2 linked regions of the Lytechinus pictus genome follow. The protein of the gene in region 1 purifies or fractionates together with the protein of each later gene. This does not show direct contact. Links are inferred from orthologs where the notes say so. Each region holds a gene or a part of one and is shown in the gene's direction. Other genes may lie near its edges.

Evidence for each region.
Region 2: the proteins of exportin-6-like (region 1) and zinc finger matrin-type protein 2-like purify together in Homo sapiens (co-immunoprecipitation; 3 studies listed by BioGRID and IntAct, with this or other methods). This does not show direct contact. The link is inferred for Lytechinus pictus from reciprocal best matches to the Homo sapiens genes XPO6 and ZMAT2.

What each region holds. Positions count from the first base shown.
Region 1 is NC_087254.1:15,839,365-15,856,276, forward strand, and holds the start of exportin-6-like, read left to right. Parts: upstream 1-8,100; 5' UTR 8,101-8,118; coding exon 8,119-8,555; intron 8,556-8,952; coding exon 8,953-9,079; intron 9,080-9,728; coding exon 9,729-9,841; intron 9,842-10,489; coding exon 10,490-10,598; intron 10,599-11,103; coding exon 11,104-11,196; intron 11,197-11,797; coding exon 11,798-11,867; intron 11,868-13,210; coding exon 13,211-13,370; intron 13,371-14,913; coding exon 14,914-15,006; intron 15,007-15,912; coding exon 15,913-16,066; intron 16,067-16,912. UniProt on the Homo sapiens protein: Mediates the nuclear export of actin and profilin-actin complexes in somatic cells.
Region 2 is NW_026974140.1:2,205,534-2,222,932, reverse strand, and holds the start of zinc finger matrin-type protein 2-like, read left to right. Parts: upstream 1-8,873; 5' UTR 8,874-11,620; intron 11,621-12,275; 5' UTR 12,276-12,397; coding exon 12,398-12,479; intron 12,480-12,777; coding exon 12,778-12,923; intron 12,924-17,399. UniProt on the Homo sapiens protein: Involved in pre-mRNA splicing as a component of the spliceosome.

The sequences.
Region 1 (16,912 bases):
AGCATGGCACCTTCAAATGCACCAGCAACAGGTGCATCATATGTGAAATACACCTTCACGAGGGCGATACTTTCACCAGCAACTCTACCAGCCTGTCTCACCAAATCAAGGGCAACATCACATGCACTACCACTAATGTTGTATATCTCATCACTTGCAGAGTTTGTAGGGTACAATACATAGGGGAAACCAAGACCACACTCAAGAAACGATTCTACGGGCACAGATCCACCGTCAACACAGCAAAGCTGGACACTCCAGTTGGCCGCCATTTTAACCTCCCCAACCACTCCATCACTGACATGATGCTACAGGGCATCGAATCTTTAGGTACCCGTCCTGACTCAGTCCGTACTAGCAGGGAGAAGCTCTGGATGAGACGACTTCGCACCACCCAACCTCATGGCCTGAACATCCAAGAGGGGAACGACTGATTTTTCTTTCCTATCCACTTTCAATTTATATATACCGGTACATATAATTTTTCCCCTCAGCTCTTTTGAATAGTTACATTATAGTTTCTTACTCTACTTTCCTCCCATATCTCATACAAGCTCAGCTCCAATTTTTCCTTCCTTATTCAGGCGATATAATAATTATTATATATATATATATATATTTGTTTTTTCTCCACTCACCTCTTTTAGATTTACCACATTTGCTTATTTACATGTATACTATGGTTTCTTCATAATACACCCCCTCTCTTCTATATTTGCTTTTACCTTTTTAGGCAATTTGCTTCCTCTTTTTCACATATACAGGTTTTTTTCTTTCCTGCTATATAGTCTTATGTTTTTTCCCGTCACACCTAGCGGATTACCATATCAGTTACACCATATGTGTATATATTTATATATTTTTTCATATACATTTCTTTTTTGGATATATTTATATATATCACTTATAGATACATATTTACACTTACCTTCTTCTCTTAGTTTGTTTAATGCTTTATCATATATACTTATATGTCTTTTGCACATTATCAGTTGTTCCCCATTCTTTTTCTTCTTTTTTTTTCCCCCACTCTTATGCACCAGTTTATTAAGCCTTTCTTTGTAACCTGTTTGACCCACCTCTCACTAATTCTCTAGTTATTCATCCCTCTATCGCTGTTTTGTTCCAGATCCTGTTTGATGTTGCCTGCCTCATTATCTTAATCCCTCTTGGCCTTACTTATACTAACTTCCCTTTGTGTCTGCCTACTCCTTTTCTTTCATCCCCTTCACTAACCTGATTGGTCTTCTCTACTCACTAATGCCCCTTTTGTCTCCTTGTTTCTAGTGTTGCTGTAGCTTGTTTGTGGTCTATATTATGGTTGTTCCACTTTATATGTTTGTCATTTTGCCTCCGACGAAGATTCTGCTAGGATCGAAAGCTTAGGCCCCCTTTTTGACTTTATAATTTACTCCATTGGCTCTCTTTTATTAGATATAAGCAGTTTTCAGCAGCTTCTTTTTGCCACCATGAGTATTAGTGATGATTTTTGGCCTTTGCATAATTCTTTTCATCAGTACAGGAGGCAAAAATTGGCTAGTAAGTCCTAATACCCCTGAAGTTGAAAATGTACTAAAATTTAATTACCACTGATCCCTAATATTTTGTAAAATTCTGTTTATTTATGGTAGAGCCACTTATTACATACTATATACTTGTATTTTATTTGATATTATAGACGTAAAGTACTTAGTTTGTGTTAAGTATCAGAGAAGAATATATAAACAAGCTTTATTGAGGCATTTCTTCAGTCATAAATGCCTAAAAATAACATTTTCCTTCTCAAATGTCAGAGGCGTAATTCCGTTACCATTATGTGTAAAATTCCGTTACCATGTACTTCCCCAAAAGAAAGACCAATCACGAAAATTTGTTGATAATATTTGTGAATAAATTACTTTCAAAATAAAGTTGACATTATAATAAATTGAATCAGACATTAGCTTGGAGCTAGTGTGTTGTAGATTTCAGAGAAACTTTTACTAAACTTTGGGTTGCAAAGTGACTCATTTCTCTGGTAATTCCGTTACCATAGCACATATCCGTCATTCACATCTGAACGTGTGAGGGGTTTTCTAAAAATCTTGGTTCAGAATATAGCACAAGTGGCCATGCATAGTATTAAGTTTAGAAAATGGGAAAATATTGAGATATCTGGATGCTGTGAGAAAAAATAACAGCCAAAATTCTCTGATTTGTAATTCCGTTACCATGGAATTGCCCAAAAGGCACTAGAACAGACTAGACGTTATGATCTCCATGACGACACTGTAGAATTAAATGTCCGCAATAACGTCCTCGTAACAATTATGTATTTTACCGTATTTAGTTTTATATTTATTTCAAAAACATATCAAAATCTTCTAATCGTTCTCAGAAAAAACGTTTAAATCACAATCAGGCTTTACGTTTATAAAGTGATCACCGTACGTGATGTTTATGGCTGCTCTCTTTACTTCAGACGTTTTTAAAAGACAATGTCTTCCGTAACTTCGCACGACTTTTACACCATAATTTGTTGCTGGTGATTCTTTAGATTTAGGTGGTTGTTTTATTCACATGAATTCATGAAATAGTGCTTTCAAGCAACTTTGATTTTCTGTTCTAGAATAAAAAAAAACAATCGAAAGATATAAAAACTACAAATTAGACGTTACGACTTTGACGATGGACATTGCCAAAAATGTGTCGCATATATAATTTTAATAATGCTTGAAATTGTCTTTATTTTCATTTGTTTTACCTCGCAATAAACTAGTATTCAAGAGTTGAAAAAAAATTTTAATTTAGGCATACAGTATCAAGCGATGCACGATGTGACAAGTGTCCTTTTAAGACGTTATTCATTCTTTTTAATATTCCACAATGTCTCATATAAAATCCAGGATTTTTGGAAAGTGGCGGCTAAATTTTTTGACATCGAGGGCTGCGAAACGGGATGAAAGTCGGGGGGGGGGTCGACCATGCAAAAAAAAATCAAAATCAGATGTTTTTTTCTGATGGGATAAAGCCATACCAGCGCCCGCCCCCCCCCCCCCCCCCCCCCCCCCGTTCTGGGACCCCTGGTATCAGCGGCGGTTTGGATTTAGGTGCCCAAATTATGTCAATGTTGTGTGGCCAATGTTGTAATTCGAATTGTGACAGAATTCCATTTTCTTCTCTTTTGACAATAAAATTATAATCTTGCTTTAATCAAATGTATTTTATTTTATTTTATTTTGGATTCTGAAACAAATGTATTGAATAAACATATTTTAATGGTTCGCTACCTAAAAAGATATTTTATACGGTTTCATTTGTTCCTGAATGTACCATGCGGCGGATCCGGATATGACAAGGGGCTCAAACTGATGACTTCCCAACAAAATTGATATTTTTTAATGTTCTAAAACTATTCAAGTTGGTTTTTGGACGTTTTGTGTAAACATTTTATGGACGTCAAAATGTGGTAGGTTTTAGACGTTTTAAACACCTTTTTTTAAACGTCAAAATAACCCCCTCCCCCCAAAAAACATTTAAAAAACTTTCGGAAGTTCGATGAGATGATGATGGTGATGATAATGATGATTGATGGTGATGATGATGATAATGACAATGAAGGTAACAATTTTGCACAATGGAGATCCGATTAATGGTCGTAATGACAAGAATGATGTGAAATCATTTTGACAAGCTTTCTGCCTTTTTATTGCATCCCCGATTTCCTATCAATTATCTTTCAATTTGTATAAAATATGTGCCAACAAATAATATCACTTTTGTTTAAATTTATTAGATTTTTATTCTCATTGTTATATTCTCGATCTTTGTCTGATGATTATTTTATCACCCAGTACTTTTAATGAATTTGAAATAAATGCTGAATTGATATTGACAACTCATTGTAGCATGAATATTCGGCATTATAGGCCTATGCAATAAAAAAGATGGTTCATTGAGGGCAGAAATTCTGTCAAAGGATGCAATTATAAACGATACAAGACACAAAATTATTTTTTTTAAGACACATCAGGCGAGACTTTTTACCTTTTATTATTTTCTTCTCCAATTTCATTCAAGGATTTCATCACGAAATTGTTATTTAAAAAAAAGACACATCACGCGAGACTTTTTTCCTTTTATTATTCTCTTTTCCATAATTTCATCACAGCATCAATCAATCAAAACATTCACAACCTAATAATGATAAAAAAATTAAAATAAAAATAATTCTTATCAGGCGCTTTTCCAAAAGTTGAAAAGTGCTATACATCAGCCATTAAAAACAAATTGATTGCATGGATGTAACCACGTTATTTTGATATTGTTCCTATTTTCAATCAAATTTATTTGTTTATTCTATACATTATATTTCATTAGTTACTTTTAGTTCTTTCGTTAGAATTTATCTTTTTCAATTTTATGATTATCAATTCTCCCCCCCCCCCCCGTAATGTTACCGTGTCATTAATTTGCGTTGAAACAGTCACATCGTTTGAAAAGCCGAGAAAATTTCCTTTTCTTATTTTTTGAAAATTTGTTCCTTCATTAGCACCGTAACGTCTCAACTTGGGACACGCGAATTGTCTTTGCCACAGCGAAGAATTGCTGCACAAAACTCGATGTTTCTGTCTTTTATTTACTGGTATTTCATCAAATATCAGAGATGTTTGTCATTTAAAGGCACTTTCAAGTCATATTTTGGAATTATGCAATTTATTTCGATATCGCTTAGAGTAACGTCCCAACATACCGGCGTATCGAAGATTGCGCTTGCTACTGAGCTTGGCAGCGCAAACTAGTGCTTCGATCACCTCCGAGTTTCTTCTATGATCGACTTTATGCGTAAAAACAACGAAAATTTTCCTTATTTATTCATTTTTATGCATGTCCACTCGGGAAGAGTAACGTCCCAACATTTTTAGAAATCAGGTGATATTGTGAAATAGACATGCCAGCTTATCTTTTCCTTATCTGAACCAGTTTACCGATGTGTTGGCCTATCTAAAACACATGAAAAACCAAGCCGAGCGAGTACTTTATTTTTCGACCCCTTTGTCCAAGTCTTAACCGGAATGGCCCATTTGCAATCAACCACAGGACATGTGTGATTGATTTGGGGACCACAAATAGTTTTGCAATTGATTGCTTGCAACACCCCACTAGGCCATGAGAAATGTGTATATCAATGATTATTATACTGGTGGTGGTGGTGGTGGTGGTGATGATGATGATGATGGTGGCGGTGTTGATGTGATGATGATGGTGGTGGTGATGATGGAGGTGATGATGGTGATGGCGATGATGATGATGATGACTATGATGATGATTATGATGGTGATGATGATGGTGATGATGGTGATGGCGATGATGATGATGATGATGATGATGACTATGATGATGATTATGATGGTGATGGTGATGATGATGGTGATGGTGGTGGTGGTGGTGCTGATGATTATGATGATGATGATGATGACTATGATGATGATTATGATGATGGTAATGATGATGATGGTGATGGTGGTGGTGGTGCTGATGATTAGGATGATGATGATGGGTATGGTGATGCTGGTGATGATGACGATGATGTGGACAGCATTCACAACAACAGAAATAAGAATGTTGACAATAGTGATGATAATGACATTTACAATATATTGTATTGGTGGTAATGATGATGATGGTAATGGTGGTTTTGTGATGATTGTGGCGATAGGTTTTACAGCACCATTTACCTGTGGATGATTCAAAAGTGATATACCCTTTATTATTTGGAATAGACAATATATATTATGATATATGTTTTTTTGTCTCACCTGCATAGCAGAGTGAGACTATAGGCGCCGCTTTTCCGACGGCGGCGGCGGCGGCGACGGTGGCGGCGGCGTCAACACCAAATCTTAACCTGAGGTTAAGTTTTTGAAATGACAGCATAACTTAGAAAGTATATGGACCTAGTTCATGAAACTTGGCCATAAGCTTAATCAAGTATTGCTGAACATCCTGCCTGAGTTTCCTGTCACATGACCAAGGTCAAAGGTCATTTAGGGTCAATGAACTTAGACCATGTTGGGGGAATCAACATCAAAATCTTAACCTAAGGTTAAGTTTTTGAAATGTCATCATGACTTAGAAAATATATGGACCTAGTTCATGAAACTTATACATAAGGTTAATCAAGTATCACTGAACATCCTGCATGAGTTTCACATCACATGACCAAGGTCAAAGGTCATTTAGGGTCAATGAACTTTGGCCGAATTGGGGGTATCTGTTGAATTACCATCATAACTTTGAAAGTTTATGGATCTGATTCATGAAACTTGGACATAATAGTAATCAAGTATTACTGAACATCCTGTGCAAGTTTCAGGTCACATGATCAAGGTCAAAGGTCATTTAGGGTCAATGAACTTTGGCCAAATTGGGGTATTTGTTGAATTACAGCCATAAATTTGAAAGTGTGTTGGTCTAGTTCATAAAACTTGGACATAATAGTAATCAAGTATCACTGAACATCCTGTGCGAGTTTCAGGTCACATGATCAAGGTCAAAGGTCATGTAAGGTCAAAGAACTTTGGCCACGTTGGGGGTATTTGTTGAATTGCCATCATATCTCTATTAGTGTATTGGTCTAGTTCATAAAACATGGAAATAAGAGTAACCAAGTATCACTGAACGTCTTGTGCGAGTTATAGTAGTTTTCAAAATCAGCACTGCTGCTATATTGAATCGCGTGATGCAGGTGAGACGGCCAGAGGCATTCCACTTGTTTTATATTTAAATGTTTTATTTATTGTTTATTATTTGGGTCGGATATTCAATACTGAATAATGACTATTGAAATAAATGATACATGGCTAAAGCCATTGGGCCTGTGGTTTAATCTACACTTTGAATGAAAGAGTATGAATTGGTCATGTGCCGGAAGCAGTATGATTTTGGTCACATGCCTGAAGCAGCCACCCCTCACCTATACTCTTTTAAAGAATGAGTCACTTCCTGAATTATAATACACTTTTTAGAGTTTAAGGTTCCATTGAATATGAGAAAAAAATCTACATTTTAAGCAAGTTAAAAACATGAGAGAAACTGTTATTTGTTGTGAAGTCCTTCCCGTTTTCCATTTCCCCCTCTTCTGGGTCAAGAGTGGTAGGTTAATGATTTGCCGCAGTATATTAGTGTAATTCATTAAAACTAAATGTCAGCATTTAGATATTCTTTCACTGATTCATAATTCAGGGAACATTTTTCATGGTATCACATGACAATTTGCTCCACATTTTTTTTATGACTGCTACACAAAATTTCCTTTGTGTAGCAATTTTTTATGAATGAATGTACAGAACAGATTTGAAAGCTTATCTTTTCCAACCAGAAGAAATTATTCCCTGTAATTTACATATCACACTATTTGATTTTTCATAAAATGTATGAAAAATCTTTGTATGTTAAAAAAAAGAAAAAATTGTGGGGTCATGGTTGAATTCAGTCTTGATGATAAAGAGAGGAAGAATTTGTTCCTTTAAAAGCAGTGTGCTTGTGATGGTTGTGAGATGAAATTATGATTGCTAGGCTTATATGTATATGTAATGATTAATATTGGTTTACATACTACACCTGCAGAAACACATTAATATTATAATAATAGTCATATTTTAAGAAACACTATTCACATTTGTACCATAGGGATTTTAAAACAGTTACATTGAACACAATAATAGATAGAATTAACATAATTATAAACCATACAATAATTCATGCATTAAAGGGACAGGACTTGAGGAGCTTCTTGAAAGTAGGGGTACTGGCTATTTCACAAATATATTTTGATATGTTCCAAATATTGGGCGCTGCTCTTCCAAAGCATTGGGCGATGAGTGTGAAGAGGAATCTAGGTTTGACTAATTGAGTCTTGTCATTTGCTGATCGGAGTGTGCGTTTGGGTGTATAGCCTGATAGATTCATAAAATATTCATGAAATAAATGTAGTTTGGTGTATGGAAAGTTTATGTACCCATTCATTTGAGTTACATGGAATTGTTTGATCATATCCATTTACAACTTTGTTTTTTTTAACTTGAATATTTTGCTCTTTTGTATTTTCATGTTGCAGGGAGCCACATCATCCGTAGCATGTTCAAGTCGTCACCTCCCAACAAACACAACGTCCAACCCCTCCCTCCTCTGGACCAGGAGAGCGAGCATCTCAGCACATTGTGTCTTAACTGTCTCCTTCATTTCTTCTCATGGATGCCACTATCCGGCAACATCACCCCCAGTCTCATCACCGTCATCTTCCACTTCGCCAACTTCGGCTGCGACATCCAGTCGGTCAGCCGCGGCACGTCGCCCGTGCGGGCCAACGACAGCTTCAGCGCGAGCGGGAGCTCCTCGCTGGGCGTCCTGGCCATGTCCTGCATCAACGAGATCATGTCCAAGAACTGTGTGCCCACAGACTTTGAGGATTACCTCTTGAGAATGTTCCAACAGACTTTCCAGCTGCTGCAAAAATTAACCAAAGACAATACAAACCAATCAGTAGGGAATAGGTTAGAAGAGTTAGATGAAAGGTGAGTGAAGAAGGACGTTCTTCACCAACGGGAGAACTGCACACAGTGTGTACATCTCATGTGTCATATGTTCCTTGTACTGATTCATCCATTATTGTTGTCTTTGTCCAACGTAGAAATTATTGATGTTATAGTAGTAACTTTGTTGAATGTTAATCATTTGAAGAGAAACAGTAGGGATAATTATGATTGATTTTGATAGGGAAATGTTGTTCCATCAACATTTCTTGTGGATATTAATCTTGTGTTTATGTATGAAATCATTGTCATTTGATGAATTATGTAGGAAAAAAGGATAAACACTGTTACATTATTCTACATCTCAGAATGTTAGCTCCTGCAGCAATATTAATGCAAGCCCACCTGCATTTTCTCCATCACTCTTCCCAATGTGCAGTTATGTAGAGAAATTCACAGAGTTTTTAGGTTTATTTGTCAGTGTTCACCTCCGCCGGTTTGAGAGCAACTCCCATTTTCCAGTGCTTGAGTTCCTATCCCTCCTCTTCAAGTACACATTCAAGCAGGTAAGCAGCATTCATATCACATATTCTCAAAGACCTCGGTCCCGTAACACAAAGGTTAGTGATTTATCCTAGGATTGATTTTTACGATTGATTTTACATTGTAGTCAATGCGATCAATCGTACAGATATTCATCTACGATTGATTGCTAAGCTTTGTGTTATGGGCCCCTGATGTTCTCTACCATTGCTGAAACAGTGTTGAGATATTTTCTCAAATTGACAAAGAGACATGCTTATGCACACTACACAGAAATATTAACATGGGACCACTCAAATATATATTTTTTCATATATATTTGTATGTTTTATTGAACAAATCAAATAATCATTATATGCAATTTAAACAAAAAGAAAATAAGGAACCAAAAAATAGACAAGTAAAGGCAGAGTACTAAAGTTTAAAATAAAATTGCAATTTGCCTTAAAATGATAAAACCAACCAGATATGACGTGGATATAGAATGGGGAAAACTACATGAAAGTTGTGAACAATATTTCTAAGGTCAGTTTTCACAGACATGTAAATAAACTAGGATGGGGTTTTCTGATCGTAGTAGTAGAATAGCCCCTGAAGAAAATTGTATAGTTCACCCAACTAAACAAAAGCCAAGTGTGCAGTACTAATTCTCTGTTGCAATTTTCTTTTCAGCCGGAGCCAGAAGGTTACTATTCTTGTTTAGACATCTGGACCATATTCCTGGACTATCTCATCGACAAGACCAACTCATCAAGAAACCCTGAAATGAACCACTTTGTAGACAGGTCAGTCAGTTAATTGATTTATCCAGCTAATGAATGATGCAATATCAACAGGGTCCCTGTTTCATAAATCCTTGTTATAATAAGAAGTGAACAGTTTCTGTAACGAATTTGCCAATCAGATCGAAGGATTTCAGTATTTTTAACTATTATTGCAAATAGGATATTATTATTATATGTTTTATGAAACCGGCCCCAGATTGAGATTTTGAATCAGTCTATTTGTTGTATGGGAAATGTAGAAATATCATTACTCGTCCAATTGCGACCTGCCACCCCCAATCAACATTAAGTCGATAGGGAAGGTTCTCTGAAAATAGCACCAAAAAAAAAAGGAATTTAGTCTTCAAAAAGAAGAATAATTCTTCTTTGTACTGTCAAAATTTGAAGTTTTGAGGTTAAGTTAAAAAAAACAAGATACAGGGGTTTCTTTGACACCAATTTTTCTTTGAATGGCCAAAACATATTTTTTATCTCATTTCTTTCCAACTGTAACCATTTTGATTTCATATTTTTTGGAAAGGCAAAATAAATGAAACAAAAGTGCCCTGTAAGTTTGAAAGATATGATATTAACCTTTTGTGAAACATGGCACCAAACCAATTTTATACCAGTTTTAACCAATTGCTATTGCGTCCATTCCTTGTTTAGATACAAAGATGCATTAATATCTGTGATGTCTGAAATACTGCACAAGTTACAGTTTAGATACAACCAGGCACAGCTCGAGGAACTAGATGATGATAACGTTTATGATGACGTAAGTTTCCATTAGAAGATATGTACCGACAAAAATAGTGATATTGACTCTTTAGTATACCAGCAGAAAACAAGTTTGTATGCTATTATATTACTTTATATTATCGGTGTGTAGCCTTCGAAATCTTATGACTAATGTATGTTTAGCAATTTCAATGGAATTGAAAGCACTGAGGAATTTGTCTTCTAAATGATAGGCTAATTATTGGCAGCAGAATTGAAAGCTTACGATTTCATGGCACTTTTAAAAGTAAAGATTTCTTTTCCTCAGAAACTTTGATATTCTTCCTAATATAAAGACAGATAGCATATTTTCCTAATGATGTTATGAGTGTTTTGATTATTTAAAAAAATAAATTGCCTGGTTGACCTCATCCAACCAACCATAAAATGCAAAAATCGGGGTCACTTTTTTAATGCAGACCCTAAAAATGCAAATGCAATGTTTTAATGGAAAATGTCAGACTTGGTCAAAGAGATAATAAGATATTTGCTTTGATTGACAGTGTGAGACGGAATGGCAGTGCTACCTCAGACAAGGCTTGGAGGTCATTGCTAAGATTGCTGAACTCTTACCTACAGAGGCGTTTAGTTTAGTGGTAAGTGAAAGAGGAATGTTTGTTTGAATAATGAAGGAGAAGATACGGCCATACCTGTCTATAAAGACCGTCCTAGGGAAGCAAATGTGGTTTTTGTGAGCAGGTGGTCTCTATGGGATGGATTCCTGTAATACGTGCTTCAGTGCCAGAAATCATTTAAGGAAAACCAAAATTGTTGACTTAATAGACATGTGGTTGGTAGTGCAGGTTTGACTGTAAATTCACTATCAGTATGTATGAAATCAATGGTGTAGTGGGTTGATAATGATGTCGACAAAATCCTAGTACATAAGCGAACGGCAAAGTACTTGTGAGAAAAGGAGATTACCTCGTAACCGTTCATATGTCTGAAGGATAGACTCTCTGAGCCATCTAGGTTACCGCTTAGTGTTTGTGATTATGAATATCGTCACTTTATGAAATGTGCTTTTTTAACTTTGCGAATTCGGTTGTTTTTTGGGGGGGTCTACATATACTAAGAAAGATTAACTCATGTAGTTAGTATTTCAAGTAAAAATGAAAAATAATAAATAAAAAATTAATATAAAATAAATAAATAATAAATGAAAAATATATATATATTTTTTTTCTTTCTATCAAGTACCCACCATTCCAAGAATATCTGACTGTGTACCTGGGTCTCAGACAGTATGTGGTTGATATCCCAGAGGGTAAGTTCAATCTTCTCTGTCTCCTCTTTTCCACCACCCCCCCCCCCTCAATCTTGAAGTTCTTTGCATGTGAGGGGTAGGGGTTTTTCTCTCAGCGACGTACAGAGAAGTCAAGAACAGAGAAGTGCATTGTCATATGCCAATCATGACAACAGCAAAGAAGACTTTGTTGAATGTTGGTGGATCAAGACAGCAGTTTCATCCTTGATTCTGGACAAACGACAAATTCATAATTTTTTTGTCTGATCTGAAACTTAGGACGAAACTGGTGTTCTGTTTCACAAATTTTTGACAAAGACCTCCCAGCTGCTCATGAATCTTCTGTACGACTCTTGAGTATATCATGAAATCTTTTTTGCAGGATTTTCTGCATTTATTGGAATAATATACAAAAAAAAATTTTACAATGCGTGAGACATAATCATAAGATAGCATAAAGTACATAAACAAGTGACAATCTTATATATAAGGACTGGAGAAAGACATAAATACAATATAGAAAAAATGTATGCTTGAAGCATAGCAGCCAAAAATGGGAAGGCTACCATGGAAACCTTAGAAATTGATTGTGTCTGTAAGAAAAAAATTCAATGTCACGAATCATCAAAGAACGGGAAAAAAAGTAGAAATTGAAAAATGAAGTGGGTGCAAGTGCAGGTGAGAGATTTATGAATATCTGGATAAAAGGTATTTTTTCAATGAAGCTTTGGAAGAAAAGACAGATGCAGTGAGTTTAATATGATTGGGTATGTTGTTCTATATATATGGGCCGTGGTGTCTGATATCTATTCGTTCAATGTGAACTTACACAAAGTAGGGAAATATTGACAGGTAATCAAATTTATCCGCATTTTCATGAGAGGATGTAAGCAGAACGACCCAAAGACCAAACCATGTGACTTTTTTTGTCCCCACATGCTCAGATTGGTAAATTTGTAGATGTTAGATCTAAACTTTGAATCTCCTGTCTTTTTGGACAGAAATATTACATTGTTTCACTTCATTTTCCATTCAAATTAGAAATATTTACTTGTGAAATATACATCCTTAATTCATTTCAAACCAGTATGATATGAATTAAGGGGATGGTTGGTCAGTTTTAACATATTTTTTGGTCACTGTTTCCCAAAATTTTTAAATGTTTAGCAAACTTTGTTGATTTTTTTTGTTTTATCGGTTGTTTAAATGTTGGTTAAATGTTTTGACTCAGGCCTAGTAAAAGGATAAAGATAATGTTTTTATCTCCCACCCTCCCTCCATCTCTCTTGCTTTCTTCTCCCTATTTCTCTCCCTCTCTGTGCCTCTCTTTTTCTCTCTCTCCCTCTGTCTGTAAAACCTTTCAGGTCAAAGGTTGAATGTCAACCAGGAGAACGAGTGTAGGAGATTACATTGTACTCTGCGAGACCTTTGTTCCATGTTCCAAGCATTAGGAAGATTAGCAGAGCACTTCATAGGAGACAAGTTCACAGAGAGGTTCGATAACGCCCTCTCATTAATAGAAAGGTGAGGTTCAGATGGTTTTATTAGGGAGAGTTCACACTGCGATGCAGAATCAATCCTAGCATGCAGCAAATGAAAATGCCAGCTAAATCACAATGAAAACCTGGGAGGTCTTTGTCGAAGATTGGTAAATAGCAACAGCATTTTTGTCCAACGTTTCGGAGCTGACAAAAAATTGCTAATGTGTTGTTTGTGCAGAGTCACGAATGAAAGTGTTGTTTCAATTCACCAACCCTTGACAAAGATTTCATTATCATGTAGGGCAGTTGACAATAAATTCTCTTTGTGTTCCAGTAAGCGTCTGTGTAGCTGTTGCGAAATCTCCCTTTTGATTATTATAAACGTATCTTAGAAGGTTGACTAATTCAGTCATCTGATTGGTCAAAAGTGGGATCATACATCCAACCATGCCTGCAAAACACCAAACTTAGGTGGTTACCAAGGGCAATGGGTTTCATGGGGAGTGGATTAGTATTTGCTGACCCCAGACTTTGTGAAACCTTTGGAAATACCTATAACAGAGACATCACTGGGGGACAGCAAACTCTGTGTACCAGCGAGAAATTCTTCGCCAAGCCTTAATTCCTCTCAGTCAACTATCAAGCAAGGGACAGTGAGATAATGACTCTACCATAAGGGGTTTTCCAGTGGCATTGATTACATGATGTCTTCTTTTCATATAACTTGTTCTACCTGGTGTAATTTGTATCCAAATTTTCTCGAATCCCCTCTGAAAGCTGACGTTGGAACCACAGAAATGCCAGTTGTATCAGGCATAGTTATAATGGCATATGCATAGTATAATATTTTGATTACAAATAATTCACCTGTATTTTCTGATTGATCCAGTCAACCTCAACTTTATGGAAATCTTTCATAATTAATGAATTTTTCCTACAGGAAATTTGCACCATGTCCTTTGTAAACAAAGAGGAGCACACTGAATTGTCAAGACAACAATGAATGATGTCCGAGTATACATCATAGCTCCGTAGCACAAAGGTTTTCGATGAATTGCAAATATGAAAAAACCGCACTGATTGGCTCCCGGTCAGTATTTTAAACAGAGTGCGCGTGCAACCATCATCTTGATTGGTCATTGGTATTTAGCGAGTGATTGCAAACCTTTGTTTACAGAGCCCATATCAAGAAAAAGAATTGAACGAACATGCACTTTAGATGTTGGTATTGCTGGCTTTCCATAGTTGTGGTTGATCAGGGTCTCATCTTACAAAAAGTTACGATTGATCTAATCAATCTCAACTCTATGGAAATCCATCAATGTCATGATTCTTTTTTACAGGAATTTTGCGCAACTTCCTTTGAAAGCAAATAAAAGCACTCCAAATTTTCAAGAAAAAAATGAATGTGTGACTTGACATATCTAGAAAATATTTTGAACAAACATGCGTAATAGATATTGACGTTGCTGGCTTTCCACAGTTGTGGTTGATTGGATCAATAACATAAGTTTGTAAGACAGGAACTAGTGATGCATCTACTGTAGCAGCTACATGATCTCTTTCTTTGCTTGTTATTCCTGTAGGTTATGTCAAGCAGCAGTGTATGGCACCAATATGAAGCTATACAGAATGAAGAATGCAGCACCAACAGTACTCAAGCCAGACTTTGTAGAAACGTGAGTATCTAGATAGAGTAAATAATGTATTTAATGATGATGAAAACAATGCTCGTAGTTTTACACTTTTAACATTTGTATCGTAGTGCTTTAGAGAGATGGTCACTATAGGCAAGTGGCCACTAATTATTACAATGTAAAGTGCTTAAAAATACAATGTATGAAGCACTATAACTATTTTTATTATTATAATTATTAGTGCTTAACAAAAAAAGTAACTTTACAATATAAGATAACATTAACATAATTGTTATAAAACCATATAATAAAAATAAATCATGCGTTAAAAATAGGGACTGCAGGACCTTCTTTAAAGTAGGGGCACTGATAATTTCACAAAATACTTCCCCATAAACAATTAAAGTATCCATTCCATGAGTGAATAGCATTATGGCACACTTAAGATTTAACCTGTATGAGTAGTGTTTTCATTTGATTTGATGAGATTGTATGTTAGTCAAATGAAGCATATAGCAAACATCCTGTGAATGACCACCCAAAAAAATATCAATATGTGTCCTTAAGAGAAAGGTGATTGCTAGACTGGTTCTTATACACACAATCTACCAGTTTTAGTGTTTACTATAGACATTTTCTTGGACAAATTCTTTAATACCAACACTATCTTTCTCCATGGGAATCGGTTTTAGTGGTCACTATCGGCAGGTTGTTGCTATAGACAGGTGGCTGCTACAAAGAGGTGGTCACTATAGGGAGGCTGGACTCGTACTGGTATTGTTTCTTGCAAAAATATGGATGATAAATACTACTCTGATCTTCAGGCTCTCTCAATCGGCATACCTGAATAATGGAATAAATTATAAGATTAAAAATTAGTCAAAAATCGAATCATGGTGTCATGAAATACATTCGCTTTACATCCTGAACTTGTTTCATTAACTGCAGACATGCGCAAGCTTTAGCTGCCCTGAAGGCCTACAGTCATTGGTTAGCGCAGTTCTACAACGAGACGAGTAAACCCGGAAGCAGACATCATGATAAGATGTTACCCCTAATGACAAACTTGGTGGAAGCCATTGCACCTGAACTTGCCAAACAGGTCAGTAGTCTCATGGTGTGTAGTCAAATAGTGTGTGCGAATGTTGCTCTTTAGCCAGCTACACTGCGGCCTTAACTCGTTTCCAACTGGATATGGTGCGGCACGCTGTGGATATAAAATCTTGCCATCTATTTTTATGGCTCAACATGACAAGATAATCTTTCTCACCATTTCGGTGTACCTGTTTCAGAAGTCGACTTGGCGAGATGATGTATTTCGCCATATAGACATAAAACTATTGATCAAGTCAAATTGACGAAATGACGTATCTCGCCTTCCTTCCAGATGCAACCTCTTCAGTCCAATTATTTTTTTGGGAGGGGGTTAAGGGGGAATGCAAATACCCCCTTTAGATGTTAACCCAAGATTATCAACCGTTGTTACGATAAATATAAAGGGTGTCACTGTAACTAGATAATCACTTTGGTGCAGAAAATGTATGTACCCTAATGAATTTGATCACGCCACTTAGATCCACATACTTCTAATTTTATTATTATTTCACTTGAATTGGAGGTATTGATGCCAAACCTGCAAATACTGCGGCGGCGGCGTCAACACCAAATCTTAACTGAAGGTTAAGTTTTTGAAATGACAGCATAACTTAGAAAGTATAGGGACGTAGTTCATGAAACTTGGCCATAAGGTTGATCAAGTAATACTGAACATCCTGCTTGAGTTTCAGGTCACATGATCAAGGTCAAAGGTCATTAAGGTCAATGAACTTAAACCATGTTGGGGAATCAGCATCAAAATCTTAACCTAAGGTTAAGTTTTTGAAATGTCATCATAACTTAGAAAGTATATGGGCTTAGTTCATGAAACTTGGCCATAAGGTTAATCAAG
Region 2 (17,399 bases), on another chromosome or scaffold:
TGTATATGGGTGTTATATTGTTTGCTAAGATGCTTGGTTTGGTTTGAAATGCATATGCAAAAATATAAACCACTGTTTTCTATATATTTGATGTAAAAATATATAAAGTTGATAACAGAATAGGCCTATAATTATGTTGATTCATACAATATGGGGGGGGGGGGGCATTTTATCAACATTCAATTTCTGACAGAATGTCAGTTTTGTCAACTTTCTTTGGTTTTGATTAGCTGAAAAATTAGTCTTTAATCCGGGGGGGGGGGGCAACGCACAATTTAATATCTTTAACGACACTTCATTTAAATGATGTGTATCTATCATGAACCAAGAAAGGTTTAAATTATCATGTACCATTAAAAAATTGAAATTCACACATTGTATATTACACAACATATGGGGCAGCTGCTCATATATGATGTCACAAAATTTAAAATTCTAATAACATATTCCCAATCTTTGATGGATTTTTCTCAAACCACCAGTTTTTGTATTTCTAATATTTTTACATCAGGGTGATTTTCCCCTTTAAATTGAAATACATACACCCAAGCAAGCACTAGCTGTAGTCACTTTAACCACATGCATGTCAAAAATATCTGCACGTTCGCAGGGCTTGACATGAGCAGTGGCCCGGTTGCCCGGGGCAATCTAAATTGAGAGCCGGGCTACCAAACTTCAGTAGAAGCCCACACTGTGTGTTCCCGTCAAGCTACCAAAGTTTTTATAAATTGCAATGTTCTCTATATATTTAGGGCCATCAAACTTGCTTTGCGGTGAGTTTGGTGGACTGATTGGGCCACCAAGAAAAAGAGTGTGAAGCCTTGCTATTGGGGCATGTTTTGAAACTGAAAGCAAGGTTTCTACGATAAGGCAGATATACAAAAAATAATTTTGATGTGGACAAACCTTGTCTTTTGCCTCGTGGGAATTCTTTAAATTTTTAATCCGGAAAACAATTACGTAATATTTACAGGGGCCGCGGAACCGGGGGGGCTTCAGCCCCCCCACTTTTTTCCAAAACCATGTACAAAAATTTAAAAATGACCATATGATTGTGATTTTTAGCATGGTCAGCCCCCCCACTTTTGGCTCAGCCCCCCCCCCCCCCCCCACTTTGAAAACCGTTCTGCGGCCCCTGATTTATAATAGGCCGATAATATTCAAGTTTTCCCAGTGCTATTTTCTCGGTCAAGGCTCAAGCAACTTTTCAGGGACAAGTGCTCCAAGTTTCCCTCATAAATATGAACTGGTTTAAGACAAATGATTAACATAATAACCTTTTTGACCTCTCACGTCCCTGGTCAAAGACGATATACATGTAGATCAATTTGTCATTACTTTTATATTTCTTTCGATTTTCTCGGATACCGTATATACCGTAAGGGCTGGGAATTGGAAATAAATGTTTCATTTTCATTTCGCCGAAATAATTGTGAACTATGGCGATGAATTACGCTGGAACAAGCTCGGGTTCGGTAAGTATACATTTCTTTGAATATATCATATGATTATAGCTATATCGTCATGTATGAAACCTTTCGTAAGTCATCGTTATATGCTCTAATTCTCGGTCGTAGACGACTTGCGTGGTTTTTTGATTGGCGAAGTTATCGCCAGGCTTTGTTTGTAAACTGGAACGTTGTCCCACTCGCCGAATTCTGTGTACCGGTATGTTGAACTCCTCAATACGTAACCCAGTCTGACATAGCCTGGAGGCGTCTGGGACTGGGGAGTGAAAGTAATATACTGTACGTATGGTCACTCCCCTAACGCCTGGCATTGTGATGTATAGGCTCCTACGTAATGTTGTAAATCGGATCAAAAATCAGATCGAAAATCGGATCGGCAGTTAAGCTTCTAAAATAGAAATCGAATCGAAAATCGAATCGGCGATGTTTAAAAACAAAGGAATACATCAAAATGTTGTTTGCGGTCGCGCGCATCTTCCTGACAAAGTCACAAAGACGAATGCATTGGAATGGAAGTCGCCAACATGCGCGATCGTTTGGAACATGTTAAGCCAGGGGTTTTGAGGTGTTATTGCTTTAAAATAAACCGAGTGATTTTTATTAGAAAGATAAACGAAAGACGCATCTTCCGAGCAAAGGCGCAAAGGAAAATAAAATGAAAATATTTCTCATAGATCACAGGTTAATGAACGATCGGCGGGACATCTTTTAGAAGTATTTTTAGGTGCTAGCGATTTAGAATTATTGGAATGATCTCTTACGACGCATCATCTTAAAGTCGCAAGTGCAATTAAAATGAAGTAGAAGACGCAAGCACGCACGATGATTTGAAATATGTTATTAAAATGTTTTGGGTAGCTAGCGTTTTCAAATCAATTTGAAGTTCACGGCGGGGTCCGCTATCACCACGAGGTTGAAGAGAAGATGTCTATCATCATAAAGGGGGTAAGAGAGTAGCGCAGTGAGCTCCGTCGGTAATACGACCTTTCAAAGTTCACCACGGCATCCGCTATCACCACGAGGTTGAAAATAAAATGTATATCATCATAAACGATGTAAGAGAGTAACTCGATAAGCTCCGTCAATAGTACAGTCTTTAAAAGTTTATGGCGGGGTCCGCTATCACCACGAGGTTGAAGAGAAGATTTATATCATTATAAACGATGTAAGAGAGTAACGCAATGAGCTCCGTCAGTAGCACAATCTTTAAAAGTTCACGGCGGGGTCCGCTCTCATCACGAGGTTGAAAATAAAATGTATATCATCATAAACGATGTAAGAGAGTAACGCAATAAGCTCCGTCAATAGTACAGTCTTTAAAAGTTTATGGCGGGGTCCGATATCACCACGAGGTTGAAGAGAAGATTTATATCATTATAAAGGGGGTAAGAGAGTAGCGCAGTGAGCTCCGTCGGTAATACGACCTTTCAAAGTTCACGGCGGCATCCGCTATCACCACGAGGTTGAAAATAAAATGTATATAATCATAAACGATGTAAGAGAGTAACGCAGTGAGCTCCGTCGGTAATACGACCTTTCAAAGTTCACGGCGGCATCCGCTATCACCATGAGTTGGAAGAGAAGATATCTATCCTCTTAAACATCGCCATAGATAATACCGCGTCTTTCTCCCTGAATAATGCGACCTCTAAATAGCTAGCACCTCAAAAACAATCTTGAAATATGTTCTGAGCGATCACGCACTGTAACCAGATCTACGCCAATTTTTTATTTTCGATTTTTTCCTTCAAGGGGCATGATCGAAGATCGGCAAGTGATTGCCGATTGTGGTGAAATCGAATGGAATCGGTTGCCAATTGCAAAATCGGTTACAAGCTTACTCCTACGTACCGAGGGAAAAGGCAACTATAAAAATGCGCCAAACTGCTAGTTATGTTTAGAATCTGAGGTCACGACCACTCCTAGTACCAATGAGGTCCAAACATTAACATGTATGGACCTCATAGGCGACATTACCCAAATTATGGGTTGGACAATGCTGTTCTGATTTCCAACCCAAGACTTTGGTAAATGTACACCTTAATACAAGTTAGAGTTATCCGATATACCTTTCATTCGGACGGCAAACCTTTATTTAGTTGTAAAAATAGTTGAAATTAAAATCGATTATTGTTAAACTTACATTTCAGGCCCTTTTTGTTGATTTTCGGTGAGCGTTCCACACAGCTGCGACGAGTGATCAACTCCGAAGTGATACGCGTACTGGTCAGCTGATCGGTCAGGTGATCGGTTGGTTATCTTTTTGTCAGACGTTCATAATTTATGTTAAGCGTATCAATCTTCAGTATCTTGATTTCAAAGCATCAGTATTGCAGAGAAAAGTCATTATTGATTGGAATCAGTGGCGGGGGGGGGGGGGGGGGGGGTTGGGGTGAGCATTTCTGCCCGTTCCCCCTTTTGAGATTTATAGTAAACATTTTGGAATTAAATATGTTATTAATACTAGTTATGTGCCCCCCCCCCCTCATGAGAATCACGTACAGCATTATTTGTAATGGGGATATTTCGTTCATATTCTTTTCTCTTTTTTGCCTTTTTTTTTAATTGCCAAATTCAAAATTTTACTGGGAACAAATTAACAATATGACTTTCTACATGTATACATCACTTTTAGGGACAAACTTTTTTTTATGGGGGTGGGGGTTGGGGGCTTGCCAAATATAATCAATGGTGGAAAAAATGACCTTCTTTTTAGTGACAACTTTATAAAAAAATTGTCAAATTTTACGCGAGACAAAATGACCTTCGATCATTGCTATAGTTAAAACCTTTTTTTTTTTTTTTTTTTTTTTTTTTTTTTTTGGGGGGGGGGTTGCCAAATATTACGTGGACAAAATGACTTTCCCTTTTCTTATTTTTGTGGGGGGGGGGGGGGCTTGCCGAATATTACGCGGACAAAATGACTTTCATTTTGAGTGACCATTTTTTTTTAACTTGTCAAACTTTACGCGAGACAATATAATGACCGGTTTTTTTTTTTTTAGTAAGAACCTTTTTTGGGAGTTGTCAAATTTTACTTGAGAAAATTCACCCCGCCCCCCCCCTACTTAATTTGGAAAATCTTGGATGCGCCTCTATATAGTTTGAATCATAATGAAGATTAAGATCATGCGTATATATAGCTTACATCCACGGCAGAGGCGTAAACCGCCAGGGGCATGCAGGCTGGCCCTTGATCCCCGGTCCAGTGGATTTCACCAAAAAAAAAACGGGATAAGAGAAAAGGAATGAAGGAAGGAAAAGAAAGAAAGAAAGAAAGAAAGAAAGAAAGAAAGAAAGACAGAAAGAGAAAGGGAAGAGAAATAAAAGGCCATAAAAAAGCAAAAGGAAAGAAAAATGCATGCGAGAATAATTCCGAATGTTATGTCAAAATCTATTGCAAAATTGATATTTGTAATAAAAGTGACAAAGGTTTTGCTCGCTCGCCTCTTCATCTGGTAGGCGCGTAGCTAGGGGCGGTGCCCCCCGAAAAGGTCCCTCCCCCCAAAAAAAAATAAGGAGGGAATAGAGAAAATAAAAAGCGAAATGAGAAAAGGGGGATGTATATAACTTAGTTTATAATTGTCTTTCCTTTTTTTGGGGGGGAAGGGGTCAAAACATTAACGTTATGTTTTTCTATAAATAGGTCTAATTGCTAAATATCCAGAGTTATCGAGACCCACCTGCTGATATTGCACTGGGGGTACACGATGGAAGGGTTAGGCCTAGGGGCCCCCAAAAGTTCTACAACCAAGATAAAAAAGAAATGAAGGGAATTAATGAAAAGAAAAGGAAAAGTGTAAGTTAAGATATCTATCTCAAATTTAGATTTGCACGAAAAGTTTTTTTCTCGCTTGCTTCACTCGCTTGGAACATATAAAGCAACTTTATTCCCACGCGCCATGTATGCCTACATTGGCCCTCTTTCTTTCTTTTATTTTATTTTTTTTTTACTCATCACGCTACCGTACTGCCACACACGGGTTTGCCCTTATGATCGTGGACAATCATAAAAAATATCATTTTCATACCATGTGACTTGGAAATTTTTGGCTCCACCCCCCCCCCCTCTCGATCCCTGTATCGATTTTGACTTGATAGGGGCCTATACCTGATGGAATTAGCTTCATTCAATATAAAATCATAACGGATAGAACGCCTTGAATACAGGCCAAACAGCCTAACGACATTGCCGTGTCACGTGACAACCAGTATTAAACGAGAATGTGCACAACCCTATGGCAACAAAATTTGCCGCAAAAGTTGAGCAAGTTCTGGACAAAAAGGCTTCAATACCCCAAGAAAAGACCAGGCGAGTACTATTTATACATTTTTTCAATTTAGTAATATCTAGAGTCTAATTTAAGAACAGATTTCGTCATGGAGCTCCATGGTAAGATCTAGTAATTTAAGTCCAACATTTAATTCGCGTGCACTCACTTTTTTAACACAGGAATTAATAGCCTTGGTGCTTAGAGTGGTCACGACCAGATGACTGCTGTACATGTCATGGTTCACTCTAACCCAGAGAGCACCCCCACGAAATCAGGTCCCCCCTGTATTTTTTTAAATATGTTATAATATACATAATTATCACATCAGACAAACTCTTTCCGGTAAGTAGCAATACAAAACAAAATTATACATATGATATTTAACTCATTTCATTTAAAAAGAGCAAATTTCGCTTACCTCGGCCAAGCAAGTGACTTCGTTTGTCTCTTCTACGGAAATACAAGGAAGCCCGTTGGTGGCGCTCATAAATTTCACAACCTTGATTCAGCTCCTCGGTAATTTTATAACTGTGTCTAAATTCTTTGAATGCGCAATTCTTATGATTAATTTACTAATTATGGGCACCAATAAATAAAATACCTTCAAAAACATAATTCAGGATTACTATTGGCGATGATAACACTTTTGTTGCAATTAATTTAAAACGATGACTAATATAATTTTTTTTTTTTAAATACACATGCCTGGAACGAAACCAGCAGTACAAGCAGTATTAACGAACGTCACGGTATACCAAAGTCTATACAATGAAAAGATTGGACACTTCACGGACTTCGCGTAATGCCTTGCGTCGATTTGCGTGTAAAATAGTGTAGGTTCCTAATCTTTCCCTTGTCGTGTCTTTGATATAATATAAATCGCGCGCCCTCTTTAGGCGAAAATTGACCAAATTTTATCTCCGTGAAATCTTCACTAAAGATCAAGAAAATATACATATTTTTAAGAAAAAACTTCAAGGAGAAGTCACGGAAGGATCTAAATGATTCGGTAAGTGTCATAGCAGAATGTGAAATACCAGATTATTGGTGATATTTTATGTGGGCAAAAGCCCACTATCTTTTTGACTTGTCGTGTGTGTCACGTGCATATGACTGATATTCCTTCGCACGCGAGATGATATGAACCCATGGGTGGTCATGGGTAACAATATTGGTTGGCAACGTTTGGCACACCCAAGGGTTCATTACATGCCGCCGCGCACAGAAAATTCAAGCCATAGAAGTCGTGTGTTGTGGACCCAAGAAGTGAGATCCCAGCACGCGCGACCCACTAGTTAGAAATCCACTGCCAAACGCGGTTCGTGGTGCGAGGTTAGTATACTAATACTAACCTCGCAATACGTGTGAGTGCGTTTGGCAAAAAATGGATAGTAATGGTTACAAAATGACGAATAAATTATATGAAGTAATAAAAGTAGAAGAGAGTTTACTTACGCTTGTTGACATCGCCATCTTTGATCCTTTGTTAATGAAACCTAGTTACGTGACGCGTATAGAGGGCGGCAAAATCATGAGCGGTGCTAGATTAAAAAGTGCTAAAATGTCCCGCTTCAACCACTGAACTAGAAATACATAGAGAAAACATATTGCATCTTGCCTTCTACGGCGCGTTCTCGAACAATTGACCTAGCAAAATGGCGGCGGTCACATGACTTATCGAGTTCGCCGGCGATGTTTTGCTTGGGTGTACACGACCTCCACATATTTTCATGCGTTCTGGTAGGTGTGATTCTAATAATCCCCATTTTGGGATTTGGGGACTATATCACGATTATGCCCAATTTATGACATTTTACGGCAAAATCGTGATATAGGCCTCGCTCGAGAAAAATTTGTAATCGATCATACCTCAATATCTAGGTTGCTAACTTCAGCTCACTATATATACTCGTGATAGGCCCCGCTGCTGTGTTGAATGGCTCAGAATGTCCGTTCGCGGGGCCTGTTTCACGAGTATATACTATAACCGTTATATAGGCCCCGCACTACGGCACTTCAGACACTCCAACACAGTAGCGGGGCCTATATCACAAGTATATTATTAAGCTTGCATCCTAAGATAGTCGCGAAACTGGCCCCGTCCAATGCGCTTTTTCCAGCATTCGCACGTGTGTGGGGCTCGGATGACGGCTATTAGTATACCGTAAGGGCACTAGTATTCAACCCGTTTAGAGAGTTTCCTCAAATATATAGAAATATAGAATAAACCTGAATTTCAGACCCATCTTATTTCCAAGAGCAAATGCTGGTTATTCTTTTTCCGTTATTTTTTTCTTCAACCCGTCGACTGTGTGAGCGGGTGATCGAATTATACGGCGATGGTTTTTGGCACTAGTATTCAATCCATCGGCACTAGTATTCAACCTCCACACATAAAAATAATTAGAAACGAATGATACCTCTGACTCTCTATATCACAAAAGACAAAAAAATGAAAACAAATAAATTAAATGATTAATGAATAAATATAAATACATTATATATAAATGTAAATACATTAATTAATCAATTACAATAGATTGAAATAAGTGAACTTCCACACATAAAAAGAATTAAAAACGAATGATACCTCTTACTCTCTATATTACAAAAGAAAACAAAACTGAAAACAAATAAATTAAATGATTAATTAATCAATTAAAATAGATAGAAAAAAATGATACCTCTGACTCTCTATATCACAAAAGAAAAAAAAACTGAAAACAAATAAATTAAATGATGAATAAAATACATTAATTAATCAATAGAAATAGATTGATAAATAAATAAATAAAAATTAATAACTTTATTAATATATAAGTAAATCGACAAATGAATTTCTGGAGAAGTATAAATACATACACATATTTATTCTCTCTCCTTGTTTATTTGGAAAATAAATTGGAGGCCCTCCCCCCCCCCCCTAGCGCCGCCCATGATAATTCTCACCGGCCGGGGAAACAAGTCCCACAACCACGTTACTTTCCATGATATAACAGTGTAAGGGGCCTCGATAACGAGTATACTAATAGCCGTCATCCGAGCCCCACACACTCGCGAATGCTGGGAAAAGCGAATTGGACGGGGCCAGTTTCGCGACTAAGTTCAGTAGGTACCCTCCCTAGAATCAGTGTTAGATTGTCAGTCATATTCATTCATTTTTGTCTCACCTGCATAGCAGAGTGAGACTATAGGCGCCGCTTTTCCGACGGCGGCGGCAGCGGCGTCAACACCAAATCTTAACCTGAGGTTAAGTTTTTGAAATGACAGCATAACTTAGAAAGTATATGGACCTAGTTCATGAAACTTGGCCATAAGGTTAATCAAGTATTACTGAACATCCTGCCTGAGTTTCATGTCACATGACCAAGGTCAAAGGTCATTTAGGGTCAATGAACTTAGACCATGTTGGGGGAATCAACATCAAAATCTTAACCTAAGGTTAAGTTTTTGAAATGTCATCATAACTTAGAAAATATATGGACCTAGTTCATGAAACTTATACATAAGGTTAATCAAGTATCACTGAACATCCTGCATGAGTTTCACGTCACATGACCAAGGTCAAAGGTCATTTAGGGTCAATGAACTTTGGCCGAATTGGGGGTATCTGTTGAATTACCATCATAACTTTGAAATTTTATGGATCTGATTCATGAAACTTGGACATAATAGTAATCAAGTATTACTGAACATCCTGTGCAAGTTTCAGGTCACATGATCAAGGTCAAAGGTCATTTAGGGTCAATGAACTTTGGCCAAATTGGGGTATTTGTTGAATTACAGCCATAAATTTGAAAGTGTGCTGGTCTAGTTCATAAAACTTGGACATAAGAGTAATCAAGTATCACTGAACATCCTGTGCGAGTTTCAGGTCACATGATCAAGGTCAAAGGTCATGTAAGATCAAAGAACTTTGGCCACGTTGGGGGTATTTGTTGAATTGCCATCATATCTCTATAAGTGTATTTGGTCTAGTTCATAAAACGTGGAAATACGAGTAACCAAGTATCACTGAACATCTTGTGCAAGTTATAGTAGTTTTCAAAATCAGCACTGCTGCTATATTGAATCGCGTGATGCAGGTGAGACGGCCAGAGGCATTCCACTTGTTGTCAATCAGCAATATCAAATTAAAAAATTGAGCAATGGGTTGGCTCGAATGAATATCTATGGCCTGCCAGTTGTGATTAGGTCCGTGCGACCTGTATTATATGGCACATTAAGTTTTTTTTTTAATTTACCTTCCTGGCTTTTCTTAAGCATCTATACACTCACTTTATCAAAAAGAAATGCATGAAATATACAGATGTGTTATGTAATGACCAATTTTAATGTTACTCCTAATGTCTAGTGTCCTATGGATTTACACACATCCTACCTGCCTATATATAGCTCAACAATGGATGCAACGTAGGGCCCAACATCCTATAATACAAAATTGTAGATGTGCATAGTGTGCATATCTGGATACAAGAACTGCCCACAATTATAAATACCAGATTCACATGAGTTAAATGAGATACATGTAACAATAAAAAGAAATGAGAATTAACATACAAGCATACTATACATTCACATCTTCCTATGACAAGGGGTGTAAGAGAGACAGAGGGAGAGAGGGGTGTTAGATGGCTTGTATTCTAAAGGAATGGGGACTAGTCTGGCTAGAAATAAATAAAAGTTAGAACAAGATAGCAGTAGCACTCATTCTCAGCACCCCCCCCCCAGACATACTTACCATGCTTTTCTCTATCCCCCCCCCTCCCTCTTGAATCCACCACTATTCAGTCAAATTCTAAAGTTCTCTGTTCTCCATCCCTTTCCCATGAAGCAATTTCACAATTGCAATTGATCAAAGCCTATCTAATGTTTAGTATCCTGAAATGGGTGCTATACACGAATACAGCAGTGCTCGTTGGTATACAAGAACACACGAAAACATGCAACGCAGAGACTAAGGTTAGCCTACAAAACAGCCTAGCCTCGGTATACAAACACAGATGATCTACTAATCACAATTTGTTACCTGATATACCACCTCTGTAGCCTTGCACATGACCATTAAGTTCAGTTTTTGGACCTCTTGATGGCTAAAAATATGCATACTAATTGAAAATAATTTGCTACTGAAGAGTTTGGGCTGGTGTTTCATCCACTACGGGATTCCCCTTGTAATAGGCCTATAGTCTTGCTATAGGGCTCACAGGCCTATTTCATTTCCCATAGACTCGTGTGTTAAAGTGGCACTTAAAAAGAATTCATAAAAAATAAGGAGGAAATTCGAGGGTTGAATGTTTACTACCAGTGGATAGGATAAATGTCTGACATTCCATATCTGACCAGAAAAGGGTACCTCGACCGGCTCATTTAAAAAATAAATCGGCATTTATGAAGACTACACCTGCCGGGACCAAATTCATCACTTGAGAGAGTGAAATGACCCTAATTCTTCCGCCAGTAAAAATATGGTTCCATAGTGGTGATATATCTTTCCAATTTGGAAAAAGTAAGTTCAGTAGGTACCCTCCCTAGAATCAGTGTTAGATTGTCAGTCATGGTGTTACATTTCAAGATTTTACTAAATATTGAGAATAGAGAAGATAAACATTGCAATTAAAAATAGACAAATATAATTAACAAACAATGATGCAAATTTCATTTTGTGAAAAGACATTTTAGAACAAAAATGATTGCAAAAAGCTTAACACGTTGATTTCTGGGCAGTTTACTCTTCAAGGAAAAATAACTATGCTTACTAATGCCTTCCTATATTTTAGCGAGTTGAGGACCACAGGAGAAAGTGGGACCGAGATGAGTATGAGAAGCTTGCTAAGGAACGTTTGGATCAGGAGCTTGAAGCTCAGGCTGAGAAAGGTAACATAGTCACCATTTAATTTAAATTTGTGTTTGTGGTGTTGAATTTACACCTTGTGAGAGTATGTAGAATTTATTGTAATTCAACTTCTTATGTAGGGCCTGATGCCCACTTTTCACAACCTCATCATGATGGTGTGATTTTATAAAGGGCACACACCGCCCGTCTCCTACTGAGGGTTGAAGTTAATCTGAATTGAACTCAAGTTGATATTTTGAAAGAATGTACAATTCCATAATGAGATCAATCTCTTTGTCGGTTTTAGTTTGATTCCGATCAATCAAAACTCTTTCTAAATTTTGTCCCAGAAATCTCTGACAAGTGAGTAGATGACTGACAAAATAACCCAAAGAATATTTTCAAAAAGGTTTTTATTTTGTGCAAGGGTAGCCCCCTTGGGTTTGTCCATTTGGTGTCAGTCATACAGCATCTGCTGGGTACTGTTTAACAAAGACTAGTTACAAATGCATAATTTGTATCATAAGCAAGTTTACTATCAGCCAATCAAATTGAACGATTTCAGTAGCTTTTAACTGTTTACATATTCATTTTCATAACAACTTTTATGAAGCGAACCCCTGGTCTAAACATAAGGAATCCTGTACTTAAAAATAATGAAATCAAATGTTTCTATCATTCTTCATAATGTTTCAGAGAGGAGGAGAAAAGAGCCTGTTGTCAAGCGTGAGCTTCTCAAGCAGCGTGATTACAAGGTTGACCTTGACTCAAAGCTGGGGAAGTCCCAGGTCATCACCAAGACAACTCCTTCCTCTCAGATGGGCGGATACTACTGTGATGTTTGTGATTGTGTTGTTAAAGACTCCATCAACTTCCTGGATCACATAAATGGCAAAAAACGTAAGTCAATTGATCTTTGTAGTCTATATGGTGCCAACTGATCTATATGTTTATATGAACAATACTTGCCAGATTTAAAAGCATTAATGATGAAATCTAGTGCAAGTAAACAAAATTAAAGATCCCAGATGAGAACAATTTAAAGTTTCAAATTATCAACCCATCCTCATGAACTGAAGTTTAATTTATTATGAAATAAATGATATATGATACTGGTATGTATGTAAAGTGGTATTGAATTAATTGTATTGATACATGTAATTAAACTCCTATAATAATTTCCTTTCATTCTGTACAGATCAAAGAAATTTAGGAATGTCAATGAATGTCGAGAGGTCATCTTTAGATCAAGTCAAAAAGCGGTTTGAGATGAACAAGAAAAAAGTGGAAGAAAAGAAAAAGGACTATGATTTTGAAGCCAGGTTACAAGAACTGAAAGAAGAGGTGAGTTTTAGAATGTCATGGATTTTTGTGTAGTGGATATGTATTAACAGAAATCCCATTATCAAGCTCTTACATATTATGTTGTGAAGATGTAATAACATCTCTTTTGTAGCTTTATACAAGAGAGCTGAATACAAATAGCCAAAAGACCTTGACCTTAATCTAACCTTGAATGTAATTTAAATGACCAGTGACCCTTGAATAACCTTGTGTTCAAATTTCATGAAATAGGTCATTACACTTTGTGATGACATTTTAAAAGCTTAACCTTGCTTAAGATATGATATTGACGATGCTGCTTTTGCCATTGCCACCACCATTAGAAAATTTACACTTTTATTTTACTTCTGATTTCAGGAGTGATAAAAATGTTGGATGAAATGAAACATACAGGCCCGAATTCACAAAGGTGGTTTTGAAAACCCACGGTTGAGTCCATGGTTTTTGCAGATTTCCTGTATAAAATACACTTCGCCAAAGCAGAGGAATTTAACACATCAGATAAGTTTGCGTAAAGTCATTCTATCATTTATTGGAACCAAGGCTGAACATAGCCGACTATAAAATTACATATATTGGCGTGATCCATTTTTCCTTTTCCCCTCACTGATCGATAAATCATAATTCCTAAATTAACAAACACATGCATATAGTAGTAGGAAACTTAATTATACCTGAGGTATTCTACCTTCGATCTTGAGTTATAATTACTATAGATTACAGTGTACAATCATAAATGGTACATAACTCCAACTTTAAACCTCTAGCAAAAAGCAAAACTGAAACAATGTACTTATAACACAATCCAAAACATCACAATTAACATTTCTAAATTCTGTTGAAAACGATTAAGTTAAAGCCTTGGTCGACTTCGATTCCAAACAGTAGAAGTTTTTACACCGCTATCTTTGCACCTTTTCACTAACAAGTTACATATCTCTATATATGTGTGACAATCCAAGAAATACATTTACCAAGAATTCTCTTCACATGAAAATAACAATATGCATGCTGTACACATTTGATGCAATCAACGAAATACATGTAAATAACAAAATCTTTTTTACTAAACCTGTTCAAGCATGTAGTATAATAATAATAATAATAATAATAAACAAATAAATAAAGCAATTGCGCAGCTTGTCTCATTTTCTGTATATATACCCTCATCAATATTAGTTCAACATAAAGCAATTGCGCAGCTTGTTTCATTTTCTGTTAATATACATTCACCAATATTAGTTCAAATTCAACTGAATTAAAACAGTAATACAACATGTTAATTTTTCTCTGCGCATATAGTCATTAATAATGAAACAGACTCAAAAGGGCAATCACATAGTATGCTAACTTTTCTCTGCGCAAAGTAGTCAAAAGTAGTCCAAATTTAAACACAAATTAAAGGCATGGCTCCCTTACCACACAACAACACACAATCTTCCGACAGCCTTATATTGTATACATTTAACGTTTTGTAACTCTTTCTGCCATATTAACTCCTTTGTCTCTAATTTTCTGGGTATACGTAAGCTACATGAAAATACTAAACATTGTGACTCTTCAAGATACAAAACTTTTTCGTACATATGTAAGCTATATGAAAATACTTAAACATTTTGACTCAAACTGACAGTGCTTAAAACCATTGCCACTATTCTATGAACTAATCAAAAAAATATACCAAGAAATTAAAAAGAAAATGATTTTAGCATCCCTGTAAAGGAGCATACAAACAAATATCGTTAAAGAGCAATAGCAAAAACACGTTTACATATATTATCCATATGCCGTTCATAAATATAACAATTCAAAGGAAAATGCATAAAGCATGCATAAGGTATGTGTAAAGTATTTGTCCCAAGTGCATGAATAATAAAACACTAAAAAATTGAGCTTCAAACTAAGCTTAAAGACAAATATCCAAATAATATCATACAAAACCCAATAAGTTATTCTTCAAATGACGGCGACAGACTATTGAAACATCATATAAGGCAACAAGCGTTAAAAGTAACATGACTTGATATGATTTGCAATCACAAATAGTTTCAATAACCTGATTGACATTAAAAAATGCAGTATTACATAATGATAAACAGCGGGCAATGATAAAAATATCACATTCGTCATAAACATCAACAATCATCGGAACATATTACAAAACCAAAATCATATTGATACCAGTCTAACGTCCTTTATTGTCTTATAAGCATACCAAATCTATGCAAAGAAAAACAAATGATGGGAACATTACATGGACAGCAATCGGAAAAAAAAAGGGGGGGGGGCATGCACAAGAAAATATCAAGTGTATCACAAGTCATCTTAAATGCTGACAAAAAAAGTAAAAAAACCAAATCATTCAAAACAAAAGGCGTACAAATGACATAAGAAAAGAGTTATGAGTCCAAATAAGCATAGTCAAGAAATAGTCCTATGAGCTCAGCAGAAGACTCACAAAGATTGAGGATGAATGGCCAATTACACAGCAAGAATGGGACACGGGGGTGGGCTGTAAGGGAACGGAGGGGCAGGGGGAGGTGTTGGGAGGTAAACAGTCTGCTGTTTGAATGGAGCTAATTCAGGACCTTGTACGTTGGAATGTAAGGGAGGCACCATCTGGTCAGGTTGCATCACGTAAGGTGCCAAAAATGTCAAGGTAGGTACGACAAGTCTGTGGGAATGACTGTCCATAAACGCGTCAGGATGGAGCAATGACACATTAGCCAGCGGACGGCTAAGGAAACAATTCCGGGTCTTCAATGTGATGAAAGAGATGATTGGGATTGCCAGACCGCTGTAGCACTCATCCGGTGGGCGACCATGGGGCGCATGGACATCGGGGCAACTGACAGGGGCGTCATCCAAAGTAGATCGAAAGTCACCGACCGGTGCAGAGACTGACGCTTCACGGCTACTGCTAACAGGATGAATTGTCCTCGAAAGCTTAAGACGGGAGTGATCACTGCCATCATTGTAGAGGGTGTGGGATAAGTCAGCACTGGTCGTTGTTGCGGGGGCATCAGGAGGGCGACTGGGAGGAGCTAGGGCCCTCTCTCTAGGGACGTGAAGGAGAGTCACTTGGGAAGGACTGGTGGCCATGTCCGAGGGAATGTCTTGAGCAGGATGTTTCACATCATCTGTTGGGATCAGTCTGAGCGTCTTTACCATGTGAACTGGGTCCATGGTTCTCGATGGGCCAACTGATGAAGACACTTGAACTTGCAGTTCATCACTCGGGACTGGATGAAACCCTGGTACGACAGCGTCTGGAACAACATCCTGCAACAGATGTAACTGAGAAACTGATCCGTCTGGTTGAGAACATATAGGTAACGTGTCACTGACTGCATTAATATCATCGAGACGGCTGTCATGAGCATAACTTGTATCATTGCTAGAGGCTTGATTGAGATTAACGTTTCTGGATACACGTGCGCATTCGATGCCGACGCGACAGGCACGATGGGACTGCAGGTCATCCTTGCTACAAGATTCACCGTGCAACTCGTCGTTGCAGTCATTATTATCCTCATCTATCTCTGATGAGCCACAACCCGGATTGGTTAGAAAGTCACCCGAAAAGTCAACAAGAACAACAAAGTCATTCACTGGCGTGTCAGCACTCGTCAATCTAGGCTCAGAATGGGGGACACTTATTGGTCCACAACCATGGACATACTCTGGAATGTCAAATATCTCATCTGACTTCGATGAGCAACCAACAACATTAATGCCTGGAATATTTGCTATGATATTGCTGGATACACTGCCAAATGTCACACTGCAGTTACCAAGAAGGTCTTCATTGACTTGATCAGATTCAATCAGAAAATCACAAAGGCTTGCGCAACTCTCCTCAGCAAGTTGACTAACTCGGAGCTCGCACACGCCTGTCTCATACTCATAGTCATACTGCACATTCTCATTGTACATTATGAACTCATTTCCTGATTCACCTGTAACTAGCTCACATACATCTGGGTCACATTCACTTTCTTTATTAACAGACATATCTGCATCTGTCTCATATTCACAATCATTGTCAATCCCATCACCACTGACGTTACAACAATCATCGCTGAACCCAAAATAAATGCATATAATAGACCAAATTTGAGCAAGAGATGTTGAAGAATTGATGATTTGGCCTCGCGAAATGACAGGGCAATAAATCGAGATCTGGCCAAGCATACATTCTAACAATATTGCTTTTTGCGCAGCAGATTTCCGATTCGGCAAGTCAACAGGATCATCATGAAAACCCCGAAAAGGCTTCAACTTTGATTTCCTATGCCATGAACAATCACGAACAAGAAAAGGTGTAAATTCAGAATAGGTCTGAAGTAAATGGAGCAGGGACTGCCTCCATCCAACGAAGGATTCATATGTCTCGTCCTTCATTAAGCGCCTATGTGCGGGCGCTAATTCCGCGGACTGCGCCATCGTAATTATGTATACGTGGGGCTATCCAAA